4 linked regions of the Caenorhabditis elegans genome follow. The protein of the gene in region 3 interacts with the protein of the main gene of each other region in a biochemical or structural test. Each region holds a gene or a part of one and is shown on either strand. Other genes may lie near its edges. The genes, in order: eef-1A.1, nos-3, fbf-1 and csr-1.

What was found.
Region 1: of the proteins of fbf-1 (region 3) and eef-1A.1, one has a biochemical effect on the other in vitro, tested with the Caenorhabditis elegans proteins (one study listed by BioGRID).
Region 2: the proteins of fbf-1 (region 3) and nos-3 form a complex in vitro, tested with the Caenorhabditis elegans proteins (one study listed by BioGRID).
Region 4: of the proteins of fbf-1 (region 3) and csr-1, one has a biochemical effect on the other in vitro, tested with the Caenorhabditis elegans proteins (one study listed by BioGRID).

Annotation. Positions count from the first base shown.
Region 1 is NC_003281.10:6,969,489-6,973,338, reverse strand, and holds eef-1A.1 (Elongation factor 1-alpha), read left to right. Parts: upstream 1-1,626; 5' UTR 1,627-1,658; coding exon 1,659-1,802; intron 1,803-1,855; coding exon 1,856-2,024; intron 2,025-2,072; coding exon 2,073-2,893; intron 2,894-2,942; coding exon 2,943-3,200; 3' UTR 3,201-3,313; downstream 3,314-3,850. Other genes in the region: rfc-4 (Replication factor C subunit 4), read right to left, coding at 1-88, 142-274, 322-578, 644-704, 753-847, 893-971, 1,018-1,079; F31E3.12 (uncharacterized protein), read right to left, coding at 3,320-3,449, 3,491-3,661, 3,711-3,796.
Region 2 is NC_003280.10:9,744,542-9,750,964, reverse strand, and holds nos-3 (Nanos-type domain-containing protein), read right to left. Parts: upstream 4,650-6,423; 5' UTR 4,499-4,649; coding exon 4,462-4,498; intron 4,264-4,461; exon of another isoform or gene 4,249-4,263; coding exon 3,932-4,248; intron 3,787-3,931; coding exon 3,556-3,786; intron 3,421-3,555; coding exon 3,300-3,420; intron 3,256-3,299; coding exon 2,639-3,255; intron 2,541-2,638; coding exon 1,660-2,540; intron 1,613-1,659; coding exon 1,162-1,612; intron 1,117-1,161; coding exon 1,105-1,116; coding exon of another isoform or gene 1,095-1,104; 3' UTR 511-1,094; downstream 1-510. Other genes in the region: Y53C12B.7 (uncharacterized protein), read left to right, coding at 283-454; Y53C12B.1 (U3 small nucleolar RNA-associated protein 13 C-terminal domain-containing protein), read left to right, coding at 4,898-5,049, 5,197-6,004, 6,308-6,423.
Region 3 is NC_003280.10:6,077,739-6,082,613, forward strand, and holds fbf-1 (Fem-3 mRNA-binding factor 1), read right to left. Parts: upstream 3,106-4,875; 5' UTR 2,983-3,105; coding exon 2,941-2,982; intron 2,895-2,940; coding exon 2,661-2,894; intron 2,613-2,660; coding exon 2,443-2,612; intron 2,391-2,442; coding exon 2,138-2,390; intron 2,095-2,137; coding exon 1,481-2,094; intron 1,433-1,480; coding exon 1,304-1,432; intron 1,259-1,303; coding exon 1,055-1,258; intron 1,011-1,054; coding exon 812-1,010; 3' UTR 525-811; downstream 1-524. Other genes in the region: H12I13.6 (uncharacterized protein), read left to right, coding at 197-272, 346-497. UniProt on the Caenorhabditis elegans protein: RNA-binding protein that binds to the consensus sequence 5'-UGUGCCAUA-3' in mRNA 3'-UTRs. Involved in the control of stem cells and sex determination in the C.elegans hermaphrodite germline.
Region 4 is NC_003282.8:7,955,490-7,962,702, reverse strand, and holds csr-1 (Piwi domain-containing protein), read right to left. Parts: upstream 5,437-7,213; 5' UTR 5,368-5,436; intron 5,130-5,367; 5' UTR 5,124-5,129; coding exon 4,649-5,123; intron 4,105-4,648; coding exon 3,945-4,104; intron 3,904-3,944; coding exon 3,750-3,903; intron 3,707-3,749; coding exon 3,495-3,706; intron 3,451-3,494; coding exon 3,299-3,450; intron 3,252-3,298; coding exon 2,866-3,251; intron 2,821-2,865; coding exon 2,099-2,820; intron 2,055-2,098; coding exon 1,955-2,054; intron 1,911-1,954; coding exon 1,554-1,910; intron 1,504-1,553; coding exon 1,315-1,503; intron 1,272-1,314; coding exon 1,183-1,271; intron 1,137-1,182; coding exon 1,040-1,136; 3' UTR 546-1,039; downstream 1-545. Other genes in the region: Homeobox protein ceh-19, read left to right, coding at 6,898-7,135.

The sequences.
Region 1 (3,850 bases), on a different chromosome or scaffold from region 3:
CAGCAGTCAGGATTGATTTGCAAACGTTTGAAATGAGTAAACTGTCCGAAGAACCACGGAGATAGCAATTTCGAGCATTGTCATCGCCCTGGAAATATAAAGTACTATTTTTACACAATATTTATAGAAAAAACAACTAACACTTTTCAAAATTGGAGCCAATGACTGAAGTGTACATACAGCTCGTCTCAAATCACCTTCTGAATATTCCATAACTTGTTTCAGTTCATCATCACTCATGGGAGTTCCTTCTGCATCACAAATTGTTCTCAATCTAAAAACACCGAAAGTTATAAAAAACACTTAATTTTGAAATTTCACCTTTGAACTTGAATCTCGGCTGGAAGTGATTTGAATCGGAACTTGGCACAACGGCTCACAACTGGAGGAATCAATCGGGAAACATAGTTGCAGATGAGAATGAAGCGAGTAGTTTTGGAAAAATCTTCAATAACTCTGCGCATTGCTGCTTGTGCTTCTCGGGTCATCGCATCAACTTCATCAAGTATGATAATTTTCAATTTGAGAACATCTTCCCTATGGCTGTGGCCCAAAGATGACTTGGAGAAGGATTGAATCTAAACAGGAAACGTTTTTATAATTATGGAATTCTTAATTAATTAAAAATCAGTGGCAATCTTACTTTTTGACGAACAACTGCAATACCACGCTCGTCCGATGCATTCAAATCAAGAACCCTATCGCTGAAAATATAATTATTGGAAAAAATTATCACCCAGTATTTCACTTACTGGAAAATATTTTTTGGGAAGAGTTGGCGGCAAAATGCAAGAGCTGCTGACGTCTTACCAGTACCTGGTGGTCCATAGAACAAAAGATGTGGTAACTGAAAAATTAAAACGATTAGTTTGAATAATTTTTTAAGCAATACGTCTCTTCCTTGAAGCGCTCCTTTCAGCATTGTGACGACTTCATCCTGGTATGCAATATCGTCTAGCGTTTTTGGACGACTGAAAATTTGAATTTACTTTGCAAATCGAAAAACAAAAAACTAACTATTTTTCTGTCCAGGTGAGCACCTTTGGTCTTTTATTGTCAACTTCCATTGGTTCTTCCATTGTTTCTGTTAAATTAATGAATTTTTCATAAAATAAAGACATTATACAATATAAAAATGAAGAATTTATTGAAAATAAACTGCCAGAGAGAAAAAGTATGCAACACTCCCGCCGAGAGTGTTTGAAATGGTGTACGGTACATTTTCGTGCTAGGAGTTAGATGTGCAGGCAGCAACGAGAGGGGGAGAGATTTTTTTGGGCCTTGTGAAATTAACGTGAGTTTTCTGGTCATCTGACTAATCATGTTGGTTTTTTGTTGGTTTATTTTGTTTTTATCTTTGTTTTTATCCAGATTAGGAAATTTAAATTTTATGAATTTATAATGAGGTCAAACATTCAGTCCCAGCGTTTTTCCTGTTCTCACTGTTTAGTCGAATTTTTATTTTAGGCTTTCAACAAATGTTCTAACTGTCTTATTTGTGACCTCACTTTTTATATTTTTTTAATTTTTAAAAATATTAGAAGTTTCTAGGATAATTTTTTCGACTTTTATTCTCTCTACCGTCCGCACTCTTCTTACTTTTAAATTAAATTGTTTTTTTTTCAGTTGGGAAACACTTTGCTCACTCCGTAGCAGCCATGGGAAAAGAAAAGGTTCATATCAACATCGTCGTCATCGGACACGTCGACTCCGGAAAGTCCACCACAACTGGACACTTGATCTACAAGTGCGGAGGAATTGACAAGAGAACCATCGAGAAGTTCGAGAAGGAGGCTCAGGAGGTAAATAGTACAAACAACTAGTTTGAAAGATTTTCTCACCCGATTTTTTTCAGATGGGTAAGGGATCTTTCAAGTACGCTTGGGTCCTCGACAAGCTGAAGGCCGAGCGTGAACGTGGTATCACCATCGATATCGCTCTCTGGAAGTTCGAGACTGCCAAGTACTACATCACCATCATCGATGCCCCAGGACATCGTGATTTCATCAAGAACATGATCACTGGTACGACTTTGTTAAATTTTTAGCTCGTTTATAAAACTTTAATTGCAGGAACATCCCAGGCCGATTGCGCCGTCTTGGTCGTCGCTTGCGGAACTGGAGAATTCGAGGCCGGAATCTCCAAGAACGGACAAACTCGCGAGCACGCTCTTCTTGCCCAGACCCTTGGAGTCAAGCAACTCATCGTTGCCTGCAACAAGATGGACTCCACCGAGCCACCATTCTCTGAGGCCCGTTTCACCGAGATCACCAACGAGGTTTCTGGATTCATCAAGAAGATCGGATACAATCCAAAGGCTGTTCCATTCGTCCCAATCTCTGGATTCAACGGAGACAACATGCTTGAGGTCTCCTCCAACATGCCATGGTTCAAGGGATGGGCCGTTGAGCGCAAGGAAGGAAACGCTTCCGGAAAGACCCTCCTCGAGGCTCTCGACTCCATCATTCCACCACAACGCCCAACTGACCGACCACTCCGTCTCCCACTCCAGGATGTGTACAAGATCGGAGGAATCGGAACTGTTCCAGTCGGACGTGTTGAGACCGGAATCATCAAGCCAGGAATGGTCGTTACCTTCGCTCCACAAAACGTCACCACTGAAGTCAAGTCCGTTGAGATGCATCACGAATCTCTTCCAGAGGCCGTCCCAGGAGACAACGTTGGATTCAACGTCAAGAACGTCTCCGTCAAGGATATTCGTCGTGGATCCGTCTGCTCCGACTCCAAGCAAGACCCAGCCAAGGAGGCTCGCACCTTCCACGCCCAGGTCATCATCATGAACCATCCAGGACAGATCTCCAACGGATACACTCCAGTTCTCGATTGCCACACCGCTCACATCGCCTGCAAGTTCAACGAGCTTAAGGAGAAGGTAACTTATTTGTCTTATTGTTTCGTTTATGTACCAATTTGTTTTTCAGGTTGACCGTCGTACCGGTAAGAAGGTTGAGGACTTCCCAAAGTTCCTCAAGTCTGGAGATGCTGGAATCGTCGAGCTCATCCCAACCAAGCCACTTTGTGTTGAATCCTTCACCGACTACGCTCCACTCGGACGTTTCGCCGTTCGTGACATGAGACAAACCGTCGCTGTCGGAGTTATCAAGTCCGTTGAGAAGTCTGATGGATCCTCTGGAAAGGTCACCAAGTCCGCCCAAAAGGCTGCACCAAAGAAGAAGTAAATCTTCATTGTTGAGTTTATCTTGTTGATTTTTGAATAAATTATCAACTCTTTACTTTTTAATGGGTTATGAAATAAATAAACATTGAAAACTGATAAACAACGTTCATCTCTGTTAACTCAACTCCAGAAAATCAGCATTAACATTAATAAAGTGATAGATATAATGAGGCAAATAATCAAGACTTTGGCTATTGTGTCCTCGTTGTTCTTCAGCTTCGTGGTCCATTTGCAGTGTTGCTTCTCAGATCTGGAAGTAATATTTGGTATTCGATTGAGCTTGCTCCTCACCTTCGATCTAAAATTTCGATAGCATCTGGAGATTCATTGTTTCTTTCGTTGATATCAATTTCTTCTCGGGTGAACTGGTCCACATTTATAGTATGTCTTCTATCATCAAACAGCTTTTCCTTTTCAACTTCCATATTAACTTCGCTTAAGGCACGAGTTATCTCCGCCAGCCTGATTAGATCAATTTAGTACATTGATTTACAAAATTGGGAAAACGAACCGGAACATAGCAGGATTCAATATATTCTTCGGTGTATAGTAACCAGTGTCATCCTTCTCTTCATTTTCTGATAGTTTCTGCGTCATCTTAAGTTAAAAAGTAGTTGTAGAAATGATAAATGGATAGTATAGAATATAGTG
Region 2 (6,423 bases), 3.7 Mb from region 3:
TTTTCATCGATTTTTCCTAGTTTTTTATTTAAAACTTATTTATTTATTATTAAACACTAAAATAGAATAAGTAAATTTTAGCAAATCGTAAGAAAAACTGTTGGAAAACAATTAAAATTTCACAGTACCGAAGTTTTGAGAATACAGTAACCTTTAAAGGCGCCCACCCGCATGTATTTTACAAACAATTGTCGTGACGAGACCTGGTGCTGTATTTTTTGCACAAAAATTGAAAAACTTCACGTCTTGGTGATGAAAAATATTAATAAAAGTGGATTTCAGTGTTCCAATTCCATTGCTGCCTTACCACGAACACTTTGCCACGTCTGCAGAATCTTCGTCACATCATCAGAAGCTGAAAGCGTTGGCGCGTGAACACAAAATCCTCAAATGGGCCAAGGAAATCGGTGGCATCGCTAAAAAACGGAGAAGGCGAAGTGGATGGAGTGGATGAAGATGTTCTTGTTTTCTCTAATTGATCAACAACAACAATACGGGACACTTCTGTTTGAATTTTGAGATTTATCGGAAACATAAATATTTGAAGATCGTTTTTCGAACCAACATCATCAGTATTATGCATTGTTTGATGGGGAAGAGAAAGGGGATAGAGAAAAAGAGGAAAACGGGCGGGATTATAGAGATACTTTAGAAAGTGGGGGAGAAGGGAGATAGTATAAGAAAGAAAGAACGGTGACACAATTTTAAAAAATCAGGATTTTCTGCCAAAAATTTCAATTTTCAACAAAATCATGACAGAAAAGGGATGACGAATTGAATTCGAACAGACCAAAGGATGGAACTCGAGTTACGGAATCCTTGTAGGATTGGGGGAATTCTTTAGCAAAAAAAACAACAAAAAAGAAAAGAAAAACAACAAAACGTTTCAACAACAAATCGGGATAGACATGAGGGGGTTTCTTTTAAAGCTTTCGCAGTTGGAATTCGGTGGGATGGTGGTATTAGCATGGGATGGAATGAATAGAGATCGAAGTGAATTTTGTTTGGGCGAGCGGGATATTTGAAAGATTCTTGAAAATCGGAGGAAGTTTTTGTTGTCGTTGGACATCGGTGCCAATCAAAATCCAACGATTTTACTTACGTTTATTCTGGAAACTTGATGGGAATTAGTTTTTTTTTTCAATTTATTAAAATACAAACCTGATAGTTTCCACGTTGTCCTCCTCCTGATCCTCCACCATGTCCACGTGAGTAACCTCCACGACCACCACCACGTCCACTGCCTCCACTTCCTCCAGACGATCGTCCACGATAGCTACCAGTAGAATTTCCGCCATAACTATGGCTATAGTTCTGACCGTATCCTCTACCGCCACTGCGATTTTCTGAATTGTGACGAGATTTATGTGACTGATTGTCTTGTTCGACTATTTGATCGGGAACATCCGGTACAGTATCATCCTGATCATCACTTATTTCCTGCGGATCGATCGGCTTCTGCGAAGACTCTCGAGATTTTGCCACACGTTCTTCTTCTTTCTTTTTTGGACAAATTAGAGGGTGATGACCTTGTTCTCCAGTCGCCTCACAATGCCCGCATTTGATCTTTTTCATATGCTCACACCACAAATCACCATTATCCTTGCGAATACTGAAATTAAATTTTTAATTTTTATAAATTAGAATTTTTAATCTTACTTATGGGAAGACACTTCTTCAGCAGGCAACTGGTAATGTTCACATCGATAACAGTGTAGTTCAGATTTCGAAGTAACATCATCTTTAGACTGAATATCATCCGTTTTCGGATTTTCCTCGCTTATTTCAGTTTTTGTCGCTTCGATAGATGCTTCTTGATCAACTTTAAAATCTTTCTTTGGGGTCTTCTTCCGATGTTTAGGAGTGCTTGACCGACTTGGTGATTCAGAATTTTCAGTCGAAGTTTGATCATCTTTCGATTCGACTAACTGAAGGATCTGTTTACTTGGTGATCCTGCACGTGAGCTAACTGGTTGAAGATGTTCAATTCTATTGGTAAGCTGTGTAACTGATTCATCCACTTGTTGACTGTCGGATTGATATTGACTTGATGAATCAAAATTTCCTCGATTTTGTGGATAACTTTGAGAAGAATTGTAGCTTTGATTAGAATTTTGACGAGAATGTTGGTATCCGTGACCTCGTGAACCACCTCTTCCTCTTCCTGATCCAGCATTTCCACCTCTTCCAGAATTGAAGTAGCCCATCGGCTGTTGCTGTTGCATTCCAAAACCTCCACGTATTGGTCCTCCCATTTGATTAATTTGTCCACTCATTTGATACGGCGGGCCTCCCATGAGCGGCTCAACACCTCCTGGACGTCTACCTTGCTGTTGCATTTGTTGCATTTGATGGTGAGGCGGCGGAACCATTTGCATATATTGTTGCGGTAGATATTGTCCTGGATGCTGTTGTTGGGTCATTTGTGCATTCATATGAGGATGATTTTGCTGATGGGGATGATTCATCATAGAAGCAGCAGCATGAGGTGGTGGTGGGCCTCCTTGTGGCATTCCGTATGGTTGCATTTGCTGAAACATCTGAGGAATTGTTGTTTGTTCTTTTTAAAAAAAGTGTAACTCTGTGAAATTGTCAAAATATAATATAAAATCTTCCCCTAATTTTTTTAAAGTTGTACCTGCATCTGATGTTGCATTTGGACGGCTTGTTGTTGATCCATTTGTTGATGTTGTTGCTGAGGCTGCGTGAAGTTTCCTGGTGGAGCGTAACCGACAGGCATCTGATTCCAGAGTGGGTTCGATACAAAATCCTGTTGATGGTAGCCTTGTTGAGGTTGTTGTTCATTCTGATGTTGATGTTGCTGACCATCGTCCTCATTTTGACTGTTTCGTTTACTTTTGCGAGCATTTCCTCCGTCTTTTTCCAAACTGCTAGCTCCACCAGCTGGCTCTTGCCGGAACACTCGTGGTGCTGGCACAGGAACATACACCATTGGATACAGCATTGGATGTTGTTGCTGCTGCTGTTGATTCTGTGGATTGTGAGGCATCATTTGAATAATTTGGCCTTGCGGGCCTTGTGGACCCCTATACTGTCCATAAGATTGAGCATTGTGTGGCGGTGGTGGCCGTTGCTGGATTACTGGTCCAGCATAATATTGAGCTTGTCCACTATGTCCCTGCTGTTGATAGGTATTTCCTGGAGGAGGTCCTTGTCCACGGTACTGATCAATTTCATAGTTGCCACTGTTCATCATTTGCTGCTGATTTTGTGGTGGTGGCCCTGCTTGAGGATCTAAAATTATGCTTTTGAACAGAACACAGTAAGTTTGCACCAACTATATTGTGGCCGACCATCGAAATTATCGTTGGGGCCATGAATGACAAAATTATTGTTTCCACCGTTGTTGTCATCCGCGTATCCACTTGGCGGACCACCGCTTTCCATTTGTTGATACTGCTGAAAATAAAGAATTTGCAAAATGTCTATCAACTCTTCTCATTATTTTCCTGTAGATATAATTTCCAAATCATAACGCTCATTAAAAAATTATTATGAGCTAGAAATAATTGAGGAGCCCGTAATTCTCCATACCCGATAGCCTCCTGGTGGTCCTCTTTGGTATTGTCCACCATCGGATCCACCTCCAAACTGCTGCTGTTGATCATATCCTTCTTGTGGTGGTGGTTGTTGTTGCTGATAGCCGGGCGCGCCGACGGTTCCTCCGTAATATGTCATACCATTTGGTGGTCCAGTATGTGGCGGCTGTGGGCGCATTTGAGAGAATTGCTGTTGACCGCTGTTCCGATGATAAGCTGCTCGATGCTGAAAATGAATGAGATAAATTACATGTTTGATATTTCACTGATTTGAAAAATCTCTCAATTCTCTTAAAACCTTGCGCACCTCAAAAGTGTTCTTTTTCTGACTTATCTTTTTTCGATAGGATTTTCAATAGTTTCCTACTTACAAATCCTGGCGGAGCACGTGTCTGTTGAGGTGTGCCCTTTTGGTCGTCAGTCCCTAGCCCAGAATCTGGTGTTGTCCTAGTGGTGTTTCCTGGCGGCTCTGAATACTCAAACGAAATTGCTGACGACACGTTGGCAGTCGAGTTCGGCACCGAATCAGTCGTTGAGGTATGATGGGGGTTGTTGTTGTTTTGGTTTGAGTTTGCAGCGCTGCCGCCGTTTTTCTTGTTGTTATTATTATAGACGGTTGGGGCACGTTGTTGTTGCTGCTGTGAATGTTGCTGGAACTGCTGTCCAGACATTACCAAGTGAACGTTGACTGTAAATGTTGACTATCGAAGTGTTTTAAAATATGCAATATGTTTAGAAAAAGAGAATCAGCAAAATTTTATCGGAATCTATGTTTTCAAAAATAAGGAGCTCAATTGGCAAAGAGTATCAAAGAAAATGAGAAATTGAAAAAGGAACATGTGATTTTGGTAAAACTAGTTTTTAGTTCTCAGTTGAGTGGAAATAACAGAAAAAAACATACTCGGAACACTTTGTGTGTAGAAATGTAATAATTGCATATTTTTCCAGAGTTTATATTGCAAAATGATAATGTTACTAGTTTAAGATAACTCTTATTTGAAGGCGGCAAGGTAATAAGAGAACAAAAAGGTTAGAAATCTATAAAAAGCGTCGGCGAACGCTAATAAATTCATCGATAAAATGCCGAAATGGGTGGGCACTTAAAGGCGCGTAGAATTAAACGGGAAGTGGGTCTCGCAGCGAATAAGTACGGTGACACTTGTTTCGGCATTAGTGTCGATTTACGGAGTCGTTTTTTTAGATCATTTGATAGATTTTAAGTAAATTTCACCTATTTTCTATTCTTTTCATCAACCTTTACAGTTTAAATTATGTTATTCTTATTTTTAACTCTTGATCCCTCAAATAACTGCGTTACTAAAACATTTTAAGGTGAAATGACTGAACCTATCAAGGAAATTGCCGCGAAAAGAAGTGTCGAAGCAGTTTACACCGGAGGAACTGTCAGATGGAGTGCAAATGGTCAGAAACTTTTTTCTACATGCACAAATGTTGTGAAAGTGATTGATCTGGCTGACAATACTGCAAGGTATGTGATGTTGCGACAGAACTTTAAAACAAGTTTCACCCACAAAACTAGAAGTAGATTGATTATGATTATTTGAAAAATTGAATATGAATAATTTTGAAGTTTAATAAAATAAATTAAATTTGAAATGCATCAAATCTTTTGCAGCTATACCATCGGCGACCCTGAAGATGAGCTACGCATTACGTGCACAGCTGTCGACAAGAACAGAAATCGCCTTTTGGTCGCCTATAACAATCAAATAATTCGTGAATACTCAATTCCTTTGGATCCGTCGACAACTAAACCAGAGTTGGCCAGAACATGGAAAACCATACACACTGCTCCTATTCTCGTTATGGAATTCAATGAGGAGGGCCATTTACTGGCGACTGGAAGTGCCGATCACATCGTGAAAGTCTGGAATCTGACAGAGCAACAATGTACACACACATTAAAAGGACCCTCGGTAGTTTCAGCAATTCTGTTCGGAAAACATGAAAAGCTTGTCGTTGGATACATTGAAGGACAATTGAACCTCTATAATATAATGAGAGGTGCTCCGAAAAAACTTGTAAACACATGGAAAAGTCATAATTCTCATATTACCGCACTGCTTCAAGTTCCGGATTCACGAGTTGTTGTGGCTCTTTCGCGAGATCAGACGATGAGTATTCATGAAACAGAAACTCAAGAAACACTCCGAGTTCTTCCACTCTACGAATCAATTGAAGGCGGAGCAATCGGACATAACGGAAATCTTTTCACTGTTGGAGAAGAGGGTGTTGTTAAGGAATTTGTGATTGAAACTGCGAAGTTGGTCAGAAAGAAAAGGATTGCCAGCTCGAATCTCGATCACTTGGCCTACGATGTTGTTTCTAATCGCTTTTTGGCAATTTCCGCCGAACAAAATCTTATAATTTTGGATTTTGAAAATCTGAAAATTGCAAGACAAATTGTTGGATTCCATGACGAAGTGAGTTTTATAGTTGACCTTGAAAGAAAAACAATGATTGCAAATTGGAATTGAAAACCATTTGTTGATATCATTTTTGTCATATCAAGTTGCTTTAATGTATAATTTTTCGAATGTAAATCTTTTATACAAAATTCGTAAAAAAACACCGAAAAACGAAAATATTTGATTTTATCATTTTTTTAATAATTTTTTCTTTGAATATTACCACTTTTAATATGCTCTCAAATTGCCAAGTAATATTTCTACGAATAGTAATAATTGGATTTAAGAACCTTCTTAATTATTATTCCCTATCTTCAGATCTATTCGTGCTGTCTTCTTGGAAAAGATGAATCTCACATGGCTGTCGCTTCCAATACTTCTGAAATCCGACTCTACAACACTAAAACCCTGGATTGTCAATTAATTCGTGGTCA
Region 3 (4,875 bases):
TTTCAAGGGAGGCATATTCATTCTAGTTCTCGCAGCACTCTCCATTTCTCGCGTATACTCTAATGTAAGATTACTGTAGAGAATAAAGTGCAGCGAGACTATTCCGAATAGACACTTATCCAATGAAACTCATAGAAGTACAACACTTATAGTATAAGTGCTGAAGAGTAGAGATTGAAATCAAATTTATTTACAGATGCTGTTTCTCGTCTGTTCTGTTATTCTCACTGCTGCCGTATTGGTGAACTGCGGAAAATTTAAGGCTAAAAAAGGCGAGTTTACTGAAGTAATTGGGAGGAACTTACCTTTCATTCTCATTTTATTTTAAATACTCTGTGTTTTCAGTCGAAGAGGAGATTGGTGGGTCGATGATGTTCGCACCGAGAAGACCACCGCCAGGCGTGGAGGCTCGCCCCACAATTCCAACATCAATGGTTTACATGGAGAACGACGACGCCAACTCTACCTGGCGTCAACGAGAGGAAATCTTCGAATAATTTGTTTGTTGTTTTTGCGTAATGAATTATTTTAGTGTTGAAATAATTTTATTTAATTTTTAGAGTTTTCGTGTCCAAATTTATCTGGATTCATTAAATTCGAAAAAAAAAAACAAAACAATGAACAATAAACAGAAAGAAACAATAACACAACTGCATGAAAAGCAATAAAACAACAAAAAAGAAAAGAAAAAACAAAACTGGGCAATGATAAGGGTGGGGATGGCACAACATCGATCTTAAAATCGAAACGAAACCATTGCAACAGTTTAAAATATTACAAAACAACAGAACATAAGTGGGTGGGATGAGATTTATGGTGAGAAAGTTCGCATGAGCCTCAGGTTACCTTCCTCGATTCCATTCTTCTCCAACTCTAGACCATCGTGTTCGGAAGCAGTACTGAAGCAATCCGTCTTGAATGATTCATGTCCCGAAGATTGGAGTCCATAAATCGGATGAGTTGAACGGAGATGGGCAAGCGTCTCGATCATCTTTTTGCCGGATGAGAACCTGAAATTCGAATTTCAAAATATTATTGTGACAATAGTGATAACCTTGACAAGCGATGCCTTTCTTTCGTAACTCTCGAGTGCAACTTTTTGAGCCAAACTTGGAATGAGTTTGCATGGTCATAGCTCCCTTCTTTCGTTTGTCGTCTTCCAGACACAGCATCACAGCAAATAGTCAGCATGCATTGAACGACGTAGTTTCCGAATTGATGGAACATCATGATATCGAGAGCATCTTTTCCAGTGCCCCTGAAAAACAATTTAATTTTTATGTGACTGAAACGAAATTTTTACGGGTGTGGCATGTATCCGTCGAAAATCTCGTCCATCATTTCAGCAAGAAGTTCCATTGGTGCATGTAGGAATGCTTTCTCTACAACATGAGACGCAAACTTTTCCTGGGATAACGAAAGAAGATTGCGCCTGAAATATTAATGATTAAAAATCAAATATATATTAAACAACACTCACATGAGGCATTTCTCTATGATACATTCCCGATATACGGCCAGATCATCATTGGATACAATATGCTGTATTATGTAATTGGCATACTCGTTCGTAGCTAATTCTTGGCACCGATTAGTCACAGAAGTCATGAGGCGTTGGAGTGCTCGTTCACGAAGATGTTGAGCAGCGGAAGTTAAATCAACGTTTATTGAATCAGCAGTGAGTTTTTCGATTATAGTTTGCACAACACGGCACCCATACTTATCAAAACAAATCTGACGGAGGTGCTCTGGGGTTGCAACAAAATCCACGATAAACTCCCAATTCTTCAGTGGGATGACAGCTACGACTTTCTGAATGACGTGATTGGCATTTTGATCAACACAGATTGCGATAAGACGAGCATCACGAGGTAGAGCTTGAACAAGTTTACACGCAAGGGATAAATCCATGTTCTGGAGACTGGATTGGATAACACGACACGCAAATTTGTCCAAGCACATATCTGTCATTTGGGAACTGATGAAGTTCTTCAACTTTTCTTGTCGCTTTATGTTGTCGTCATCATAAGTTGTCAATGACATTCCAATGATTTCTTGTACGAAATAATTTCCAAAGATGTTCGTGCTCAATTTCTGAAAAGAAAAGTCGTGTGTGCTCGCAGAAACTAAAACTTACAAGGAAATCATCTTTTCTCCCAATAACTTGTTCAAACAATTGGAACTTCTGATAAGATGTCAGGCTGCCCTTCACGGCCTTTTCGAGGAACTGGCACCCAGTTTTGTCAACGGCAAACTTCATCAAATCGCCACTATCCAAAACTTCAGAGAGCGACAATCTTGAACGCATTTCACCATTGGAATCCAAGGACCAGGTTGGCAGCACATTGTTTGATCTTGTGAATGATCTAGAGTTCCTCGATAGAGCGGGTCTATAAATAAAACAGAATAAACACTTGAGGATAGTGATAAATTAATTCGAACCTCGAATATTTCAAATGGTCATTTTTCGAAGAACTATTGTTACGATCAATCTCGGTAGAGCAATATCGGACATTTTGTGAAAAATCGTCCGGCTCGAGACGCGAGGAATCCGTATCAGACTGAATGAATGATGAAGTTCGGCTACGCGAGACCGGCATGAACACATTGGGCTGCAAATCAGTAATGAAAACAACCAAAAATTAGCTACTCTAACTTACAAAGCTCTGAAAACTCCGGAGGCTCATCAAATCAGTTAGCGGGGTTGGTGGCCGCGATGTAACAATGTGATTCTGTTGATGGCGAGCATAATTCATCCCATCGTTCATATTGAGCATTGAGAAATACGGGTTGAGAGAGTTGAAGTTCCACATTGATGTCTCATGCTGCGCCATCGGCGAATGTGCGGGAGTATGATGATTTCCAACCTCTGTAGATGTGGGCTTTTGCGGAGTCTGTAAAATTTAGGCCATTTATCAATATTAATGGCTGAAAACCAACTTTTCTGAACTGATTTGTATAGCGCATTTTTGATTGGTCCATGTCGATTAGTTGATAATTTTATTCGAATGGTTACTTATAGAAAAACTATCAATTCACAGAAAATAGAGAATAGGAATAAGAAAATAATATTTCAAATTGAATTTGAGAATGACGAAAGTGTGTCACATACTCTGGTGTTTGCGTACTTTGTCATTGTCTACCGTATCCAAATTGAAATTTTCAAACAATGCGATTTGCTTATTTATCTCTCAAAATTTTAGCATCTCCATGGAGAGATATTCTCTGTTAAAACAGATAAAAAATTGTGGAATATTCCAGACCGTACCGTATAAAATTGATAAAACATTTAAACCTCCCGAAAAGCTATAACCAGTTGGCTCTCGCGAGACGCGAGGGACGATCGTCGTCGACGATCGTATGATTGGGATTGGTTTTTTTAAAATTAATTCATAATCACATAATTCAATTTCCAGAAGACTAAGTCCCCATAAACCTCTATAGAGTTGCATTAAATCTCCATATTCCGGATGATGTTTTGATATTTAGAATTTCAGAAAATATTGCATTGTATTTGGATGTTGTAGGAAGCTTAAGCTTCCTACCGTTTAACCATCTAAAACGCAAATTACGATTGTTTTTCAAACATATTGTTTATTTATAAACTAGAAAACAAAAAAATTCCAAAAAAAGTTACATTCGAATATTTGGGGAATTAACGGGATTAGAAGAAATTTGAGAATCACAATCATTATTCAGGATAACCTGTCAGGGGTATCGGGAAATATTGGTAAGTTTTAGATGGTTTTGGGGAAGAATGGGCGTTTTTGGGAGTTAATATACAAAATAGAAAGGAGAAGCAATAAATTAGATAAAAATAAGAAGAATTATGAGACATTCAAGAAGTAGAAGAAGCAATTGTCTATTGTGATCCAGAAAGGGCGGAGCAAACACTTCGAACATCCCAAATAATAATCACACGATTATGGCCACTGGTAACTGGCCCTCATTCCGAGGGGACAAACTTTTAGGGTGGCAAGGTATTTTTGGGGACAAAGTATCCAAAGTGACATGGTATCCAGTCGACAAAGTGCCATTTGTCTCTGACCGGGCGTATCTTCGGTGACAAACTTTTTCAACTAGTTTTTTTATATATATTTCTTGACCATTTTTTGTTCATATTTTACTGGAATAAGTTTTTAAATGCAATTTTCCATGGATTTTCGGCCTTGACTACTCACAATTGAATGCATGAACAATGATCTTTTGGGAAAATGCTGTAAAACGTCCAACTAACTTGGAATATCGTAAGATTCTTCGAGATGATGACGTCGGATCCTTCGGAGCTGAAGGATCAGAACATCAGGAAGAGCCTCGTGATCCTTTGGAGCTGAAGGATCAGACCATCAGGAGGTACCCTTACGATCCTTCTTATCTGAAGGATCAGAACATCAGAAGGTACCCATGTGATCCTTCGGAGCTGAAGGATCAGAACATCAGGAAGAGCCTCGTGATCCTTTGGAGCTGAAGGATCAGACCATCAGGAGGTACCCTTACGATCCTTCTTTTCTGAAGGATCAGAACATCAGAAGGTACCTATGTGATCCCTCGGAGCTGAAGGATCAGACCATCAGGAAGAGCCTCACGATATTCCAAGTTAGTTGGACCTTTTACAGCTTTTCCCAAAAGACCATCGTTCATACATTTAATTGTGAGGGAATTATAACCGATAATCGATTGAAAATTGCATTAAAAAACTTATTCCAGAAAAATGTGAACAAAAATTAGTTGAAAAATACATATAAAAATCTAGTTGAAAAAAAGGTTGTCACCAAAGATATGCCCCCCAAGATACACCCCAGTTTGTCTACTGGATACTTTGTCTCCTTGGATACTATGCCCCCAAAGAACCTTTGCCACCAAAAAGTTTGTCAT
Region 4 (7,213 bases), on a different chromosome or scaffold from region 3:
AAATTCAAAATGGAATTTACAATTATCAATCCGAAAGTTATTTATCAATTTCCCCGCAAGAAACAATTTCCTTTTTTAAATAGATATCGTGTTAATGTACTATTTATATAATGGGTTTCAAACCAGCAAGAATCTATGGTCTTTCGGAATTCTGAAATTCTCACAAATTTATTCATGAGAAGCTGAGAAGAGAAGGGCACATCTTCTGAATTTCTCTTTTTATTCCACATTCGGTGCGTCATTTCATTCGGTAGACGAGCTGTTGTATTTCAGATAGATGAAGCTCTTTCAGTGGCTGCACACAAATAACTAATTATCATGTGTCATTAATAAAACCAGATGAATGCCACGTGAAAACTCATGAATTCCTGAGTTTCGCAGTTGTATACCCCCCAGGAGTCAACGAAAAATGTGTCATGAAAACATTTTATGGATCATGTTTTATGAGCAACAAATTCATTTTCTTGAGCCTTCACCAAAAAATTAGATTACGCAGGCCGTATGGCAGGGGTAAATGTTTCACACGAATCAAAAGATCTTTTGCATACACTGTTTCAACTTTTCATCGTTGAATAAAATCTGCCACAAAAATTCATGCAAAGATAAAAATAAAAACAACATTATTCAACACGACATTTATATAATGAAGTTATACTAACCAGTGGAACAAGGTAAAGGTAGGATATTCTTTCCACAATTTCATATGAAAAGAAATCTTCCAGTGAACATATGTGAGAAGACCGATTGTTCAACATATCACCAGAAATGATAATTATATTTGAATGGAAAGAAGAGCAAGTTGTGTTGTATTCAAGAGAAATACTGGCTGCGCTTCTCTATATTCAAAAACAAACGAAGAATGGGAGGAGCTTGAGAAGAGAGGGTGGAGGCAAGAAAAAGGGAAAAAATAAGATGAGACTTTAAGGGAGGAAAATTTAACAGTTAAAATATTACGAGCGGAGGAATTTATCTATTGAACTAAGTCTCAGGATATTCGAGACATGAGGAATGTAGGAACAACAGGGAAAGAGTTGCACGCCTAAACAACTCGAACTTTTGAAAGTCGATCGAGAGTGCTATAGGAGAGTTGAGTGGTGAGCGTTTCCCAATCATCAAAGAGTTCGCCATTCTTGAACCTGAAAAAATTAAAATTTTAAGTTGCATTGAATAATCACATTATACCTATAAGCTTTGTAAAGCCCGGTTCCTCTCTTGGCGAGCTCATGAGCAACGTAAACTGGAGTTGGGATGGATGTTGGACTGTTAACAAGCTAAAATTTTCCTTTGTGTTAGAAAGAAATCAGTTGTCTGTACCTGATGAAGACTGCATACGGCGCAAACCATTTTGGCAACATGTTCGTCCGAAACTTCCTCATCATCTCGAATAACCAAGAATGATGGAACCTTTGCAGTACCTTGCACTGGCCGGAAAGCTTGGATGAAGATTTGTCTTTTTCCATATTCGGCAATATCACCACCAACAGATGTATCGGGAAGCGGATTCTGAAAAATAAGACGTACAATTTTAACAGATTATTGTTTTAAGAACTTACGATCGGCATGTTCCCGTGATGTCCTCCCTTGGCGTAGAATCGAGTGTGGTGACGTTTTTTAACAACAATGGCTAATACTTTTGGAGCATAATCAGAATGGCCCATGGACTTAGCGGCTGTCTTAATGGTTTGCTCAATGATTTCCACCTCCTTCAGAGCCGCAGTCTCTTCACCGAATGAAACACCATCACGGAAGATGATTACTTTCTTTGGGAAACCTCGAATTTCGGCAAAGTTTCGAACGCTTTGGTCAGTGAATTTTCGCAAAATTTCATCCTGGATCGCCTCTCTTCTAGGATCGGTGTATAAGAAGTCTCCAATGAACGAGTATGGGTTTTCAGCAGAATTGCAGGACAGCTATAAAATAAATTTGTAGCGACACGGCTATGTTGATAACTTACTCCGACGGTGGATGGATTTCCTTCTCTCGCAGCGTTTCGGTCAGGATGAGCAACGTCCATTCCAATTACGAAGGTAGAAACTTCATTCCAGCACGCAAGACTGTAAAAATTAATTTAATAATGTATGATGTGCGCCCAACTAACTCTCTTGGAATATCTGCTGTGTAGTTAAGTCCACCGCATTTAATGTTGGCTTTCATCACAATATTGTCAAGAGTCAAATCATATGCTCTTCTTCCACCTTGAGACTTCTTTTCGATGTTGTCACGCATCTTTTTGACATTTTTGAGAAGTACGTGCTGCGTTGGAATGTCACTCATACGCTCTTCGAATTTGAGGCACTCATGAATGTTAGGAACGTCATCGGAAATAAACAAGACGAACGGAGTGAAAGACGAATCCCGGTAGTTTGGATGAGTCACCAAGTTTTTGAAGACCGAAGTAAGGAAATTTTCGCTGCCTCGTTCGCCATTGTGCTGATCCATGCTATAACTGCCAATGTGCATTCCTTTGTCCTTGCAACGCTGCATGAATGCTTTCGCGACAAATTTGGTTGCATCGCAATCAGCATCCCAAGTTCGAGTATAACCTGCTACTAGAACGAACATCAAATGGTCAATCGTAGCAGGTGTAACAAACTTTTTGTCTTGTGCTTTCCAGTCACGCTTCTCATCATCCACGTGTACCGGGTCTGCATATGCAACACTAGGCGCGAGGACTCTTTCACCGTCGATCTCACTGACGTTGTTGAAAGGATCATTGCAGATTTGGACACCAAAATCTTTCATGACTTGATCGTTGAAACCAAATTGATCGTAGTGTTTTTGAAGAGTTGACCAGCGTTCGTTCGGGGCATTCGCTCGTGGCTGTAAGTTGAATTAAGATGACATATATGAAAAATTTAAACTTACTGTAAGCTCAAACTCTTCGAGTACACGGCGGTCAATGGATTGATAAGGAAGAACCTTCAAATATTCGAGCGGCATGAGGCGCTTGTGTGGTCCAGTGCCGCATTGAACTGCAGGAAGCATTGGGAATTTCAGATTTGGATACTTTTGTCTGAATTCTGGATCTTTCGGCGCGTTGTAGTCAACATCCGACACTGTGATAGTGTTCGTAGCCCAAATCTGTTTGTCATCGTAATATGGGTTGCATTTTAAATCCTTCAACAATAGTTTCACGGCTCTTTGCAGTTTCATATTTGGATTAACGATACGGTTTGGCGGAAAATCACGAGGAAATGCGTACTGCAACATCTGACTGAGTGGGATTGAAGCATAGTACTGAGTCGATTGAGCTGCAAATATATAAAATTGCAAAGGTATGAACGCGAATGAAACTAACGATCGAGTTCTAGAATTGGAAGAGGTCCGTTTGCTCCGACGATTCGGCATCCTTTGTGGATTCCTTTTGCTGCAACAGCCCATTTCACGCGAAGCTCCTCCAAGCTTTGAGTGTGGACATAGAGACCTTTCGACTGCGACAAATATCTTTCGCTGAAGATACATTTGGAAAGCAATAAGTAAGAAATTAATAATACCTTCTAATGGCACTCTGTGATGTCACAATATCCAAATAAGCGTAGAATCTTGGATCACTCCATTCGTTAAGCTCCGTCTGAACGAATGACGGTTTCTCGAGATCCGGTTCACAAGAGATCTCCAAATCGCCGCTGAGGAACGAGATGGAATCCTTCAGAAAATTGGAAAGTTCCGGGATTTCGAGAGCATCTTCTTTCTTGATATCGACCATCTATAAACCCAAATACAAGAAAGAAAAAAAAATGAAATCATACCAAGCTGATTCCCTCCAAAGTGAATAAAGACTGTGCACCGTCGTACGCGAATGCAGGAAGATTCTGCTGACCCTTCTTCGCGGCCCACTGTTTGAGTAGGATGTCAAGAAGAATAAAGTTATCTTTTTGCTTTGTTGCACGGTTTCCACGTCCTCTGAAATAAAAGTGTAAATTTTAAACGAACAGTACACTCACCTGGCACTCATTGTTGTAAGAATATACTCCTTATTGTGCTGACGATCGATGAGCTTCATTTGCACAACATGCCGGAAAATCGTTCGCTCAGAGAGCTCAAGCCCGAAGATGTTCAGGGCAAGTCTTGGATTTTGCTTCTGATTCATGTCAGAGTTAAGTCCTGAAAAAAGTATAGTTCAAATTATTATTTAAAAAATAAAAGCAATGATATCAAAATTCAAAATAAGAACGGGAAAGAAACGATCAACTAAACGCAGAGAAAGGCCTAAATTTCAAGTTTTTGGGAATGCGAAAATTCTAGAAGATTGTGATCACACCTGACGCGAAGTCGCACACTTTTCATCTACCGTATCCATGTGAGAGAGCGCGCACCACCCTTTGTTCAATGTTTTGATCAGATGAAACAATTTTTAAATATGCTAAAAAAAGAAAATATGTTGATTTCGTTAGCTTTTATTGATTTCATAACTATTCAGTCTTCTATTTTATCAAATTACTGATTTCTCAAAATTGTTTGTTATGTGCCTCCGCATTGGTATTTCTTTGTTGGTGGGAAGATTTTTTTTAAATCTCGAAAAACAATTTCCCGCCCGAGATCGAAATTATTTCGGTTCGTTCCCCGAAAAATCACAGGTGCGAGATCAAAAATTAATTTAAAAATCAGTCGCTATTTAAATACAAAATAATACTCAAATAATACTCACCTTTAAGCTTTGGCTCTGCTGAATTTTCCAAGATCAATCCATTATATTTAGGATCCACGGTAGTGGTTTGGGTCGATCCACCTCTGCCGCTCCCGCCAGTTCTCCCGCGATAGTTTCCGCCATTTGCTCCCCGATTGTACCCTCCAAAACGATTTTCTGCTTTTGATTCTTCATCATCACGTCTTCTGTCGTAACCTCCTCGTCCACCTCTGAATGATCCGCGGTTGCCTCTCGATCCTTCCTGACCATCTCGATGCGAGCCACGATAACTTCCAGTTGGCGTCTTCTCATAGTTGAAATCATGACGGTCTCCTCCTTCATACTTTACCTTGCCTTGATACGTTACATGGGTTTCTCTCGTTTCTAAATCCGGACGATACGAGTCTCCGTATCCTCCACGTCCTCTACCACGTCCACTACCTCCACGAGAACCACCACGGCTTCCACGGCCACGACCGACATTATCCGACTGCATTCTAACCTGAAAATATTGATAAATTAATCAAGAAATGTAATATTATTATTTTTGTGAAATTTTGAGGATGACAGTTGTTTATTATCCGCAAATTTTGAGGTACACAAATATCGAAAGCTGATTTCAATTGATTGAGAGAAAAAAGAAGGATTTTCGAAAAAAGAAAAAAACTTTTGAAGACCTATTTATTCAGATTTGGAAAACAGTTAAGTCAAATTTAAAACCTTAAAAGCATCACACAAACCTTCAAAGTATAAGAACTCTAACAATTCTTGCGAAAAACAGGAAAGTCTCGCTTCAATTTTGGAGCTAAAACGATAGAATAAACTAAACTTGAAACCTGACAAAACACCACGTATGCTGACCTTGAAAAACGTGGCTTTTTGGCCGTTTACCGTGACAAAGGTCAACACTTTTTTAATATATTTTACGCGTGGTGAAAGTTATCACAATTATTACTGGAGCACTAAATCCTGAGAATGAGTACTGTAGCAATAAATACTGTAGCATACAATTTTTAAACTAAAATTGAATCAAGGCTAAAAATAATTTTGAAAACAGAATTTCCAAAATATGTTTTTAAAGGATATTCTTACCGAACACTCGAAAATATGAATACAATGAAAATAAAAATTCAAATCTTATTCATGAAATTATCAGAGAAAGAGGAAAATAAATAAAAGCTCTTTGTTCCCATAAACATTGGAAAACCAATAAAAATGGGGTGAAATGGCATGATCACGTCTGCAATAAAGATGATTCATAACTGTTTATGCATCAAAAAAAAATGTTTGATTTTGGAAAATGTATCTAGTTATTTGGAACTAGGACGATAACCGTAATCAGAGATACAAAAGTTTGAACATTCATACCGATAATTAGTGATTAGCGGTATTTTGAAAAATGTAGATAATTCAACTAGAACAATGCACTATTTAAATTTGTATCAAGAAAGTTTCTAGTTCTTGAATTAAAGACAAAAATTCAAAATAAAAAATCTGCTTACACAATTGATTTGATAAAATTTTGTTAACAGCAAACATGTAGACAATAAAATATTTTGTCTGTTAAAATGTGTTTTTGATTTATGAGTTGGAGTCCCGTTAACGTAATCATTTCATGTAAAAATACAGTTCATTACTATATTAATAAAAGTAAAAAGTTTTAGACTTGTTTAAATTTGCGAAAACCTTCAACTGTCCGTTCCCAAAAATAATCCACAGTTTCATAATTCTCCTGGAGAATGCCTTGTGTGCTCAAAAATATTCATATTTCTATGAAAAAAGTGATAACAAAGAACCGAAAATTCAAAATCTCACGATAAACGATAACAAATCGTGGAAAAAACACTATTATTTTGACAATTTTCCAATATTTTCAATGCTCACTTTCCCATTTGTTAATTACTTTTTTTGGGGTTACTGTAGCCGAGCTATATAGCTGAATTTTCTTAGGAAGGTTTTCTCTGATTTTCTCAAAAGAATCTAATTTCAATTCCATTAATAATCTCAATTACCTTGCCTCAACAAAAATACTCAAATTTCAGTGTTTGTCATAGAATGATTACAAGCATGGGCGGTTGAAGAAAGAGTGTATTGGTGGAGAGAGACTCAGAGCTCACCTGTCGCATAACTTTCCCACGGGTTCCTAATATAAATCAAAACCTGAAGCCGAAAAGGCTCTCATTCTCAATCTAATTCCTAATCGTCATATATATTGGCAACTTCTCAACTCTACATTTTCTTAAAGTCTTTTAAATAAAAACTATTGAAAAATGGCTTTCAATATTGAAAGTTTACTGGAGAAAAAATCTAATCCAGTTGAAGAAGGTAATGATTTTGAGGAAGAAAACGACAGCGAAAAAAACGGTGAAGAAGACGAAGAGGAAGAAGAAAAAAATGTAATTGATGGTTGGACAAATATGGCAACAAGCCAATTGGCAATGTTTGCTATTGCAAATGATCTGAGAACACCAACTCTTGTTGAGTTACAAATGCTTTTAGGAGTATCAGGTAATCATTAATTAGTCTACATATCTATTAACATTTAATTATGTAACTTCACCCGAGCGAACTACATTTTCCAATTAC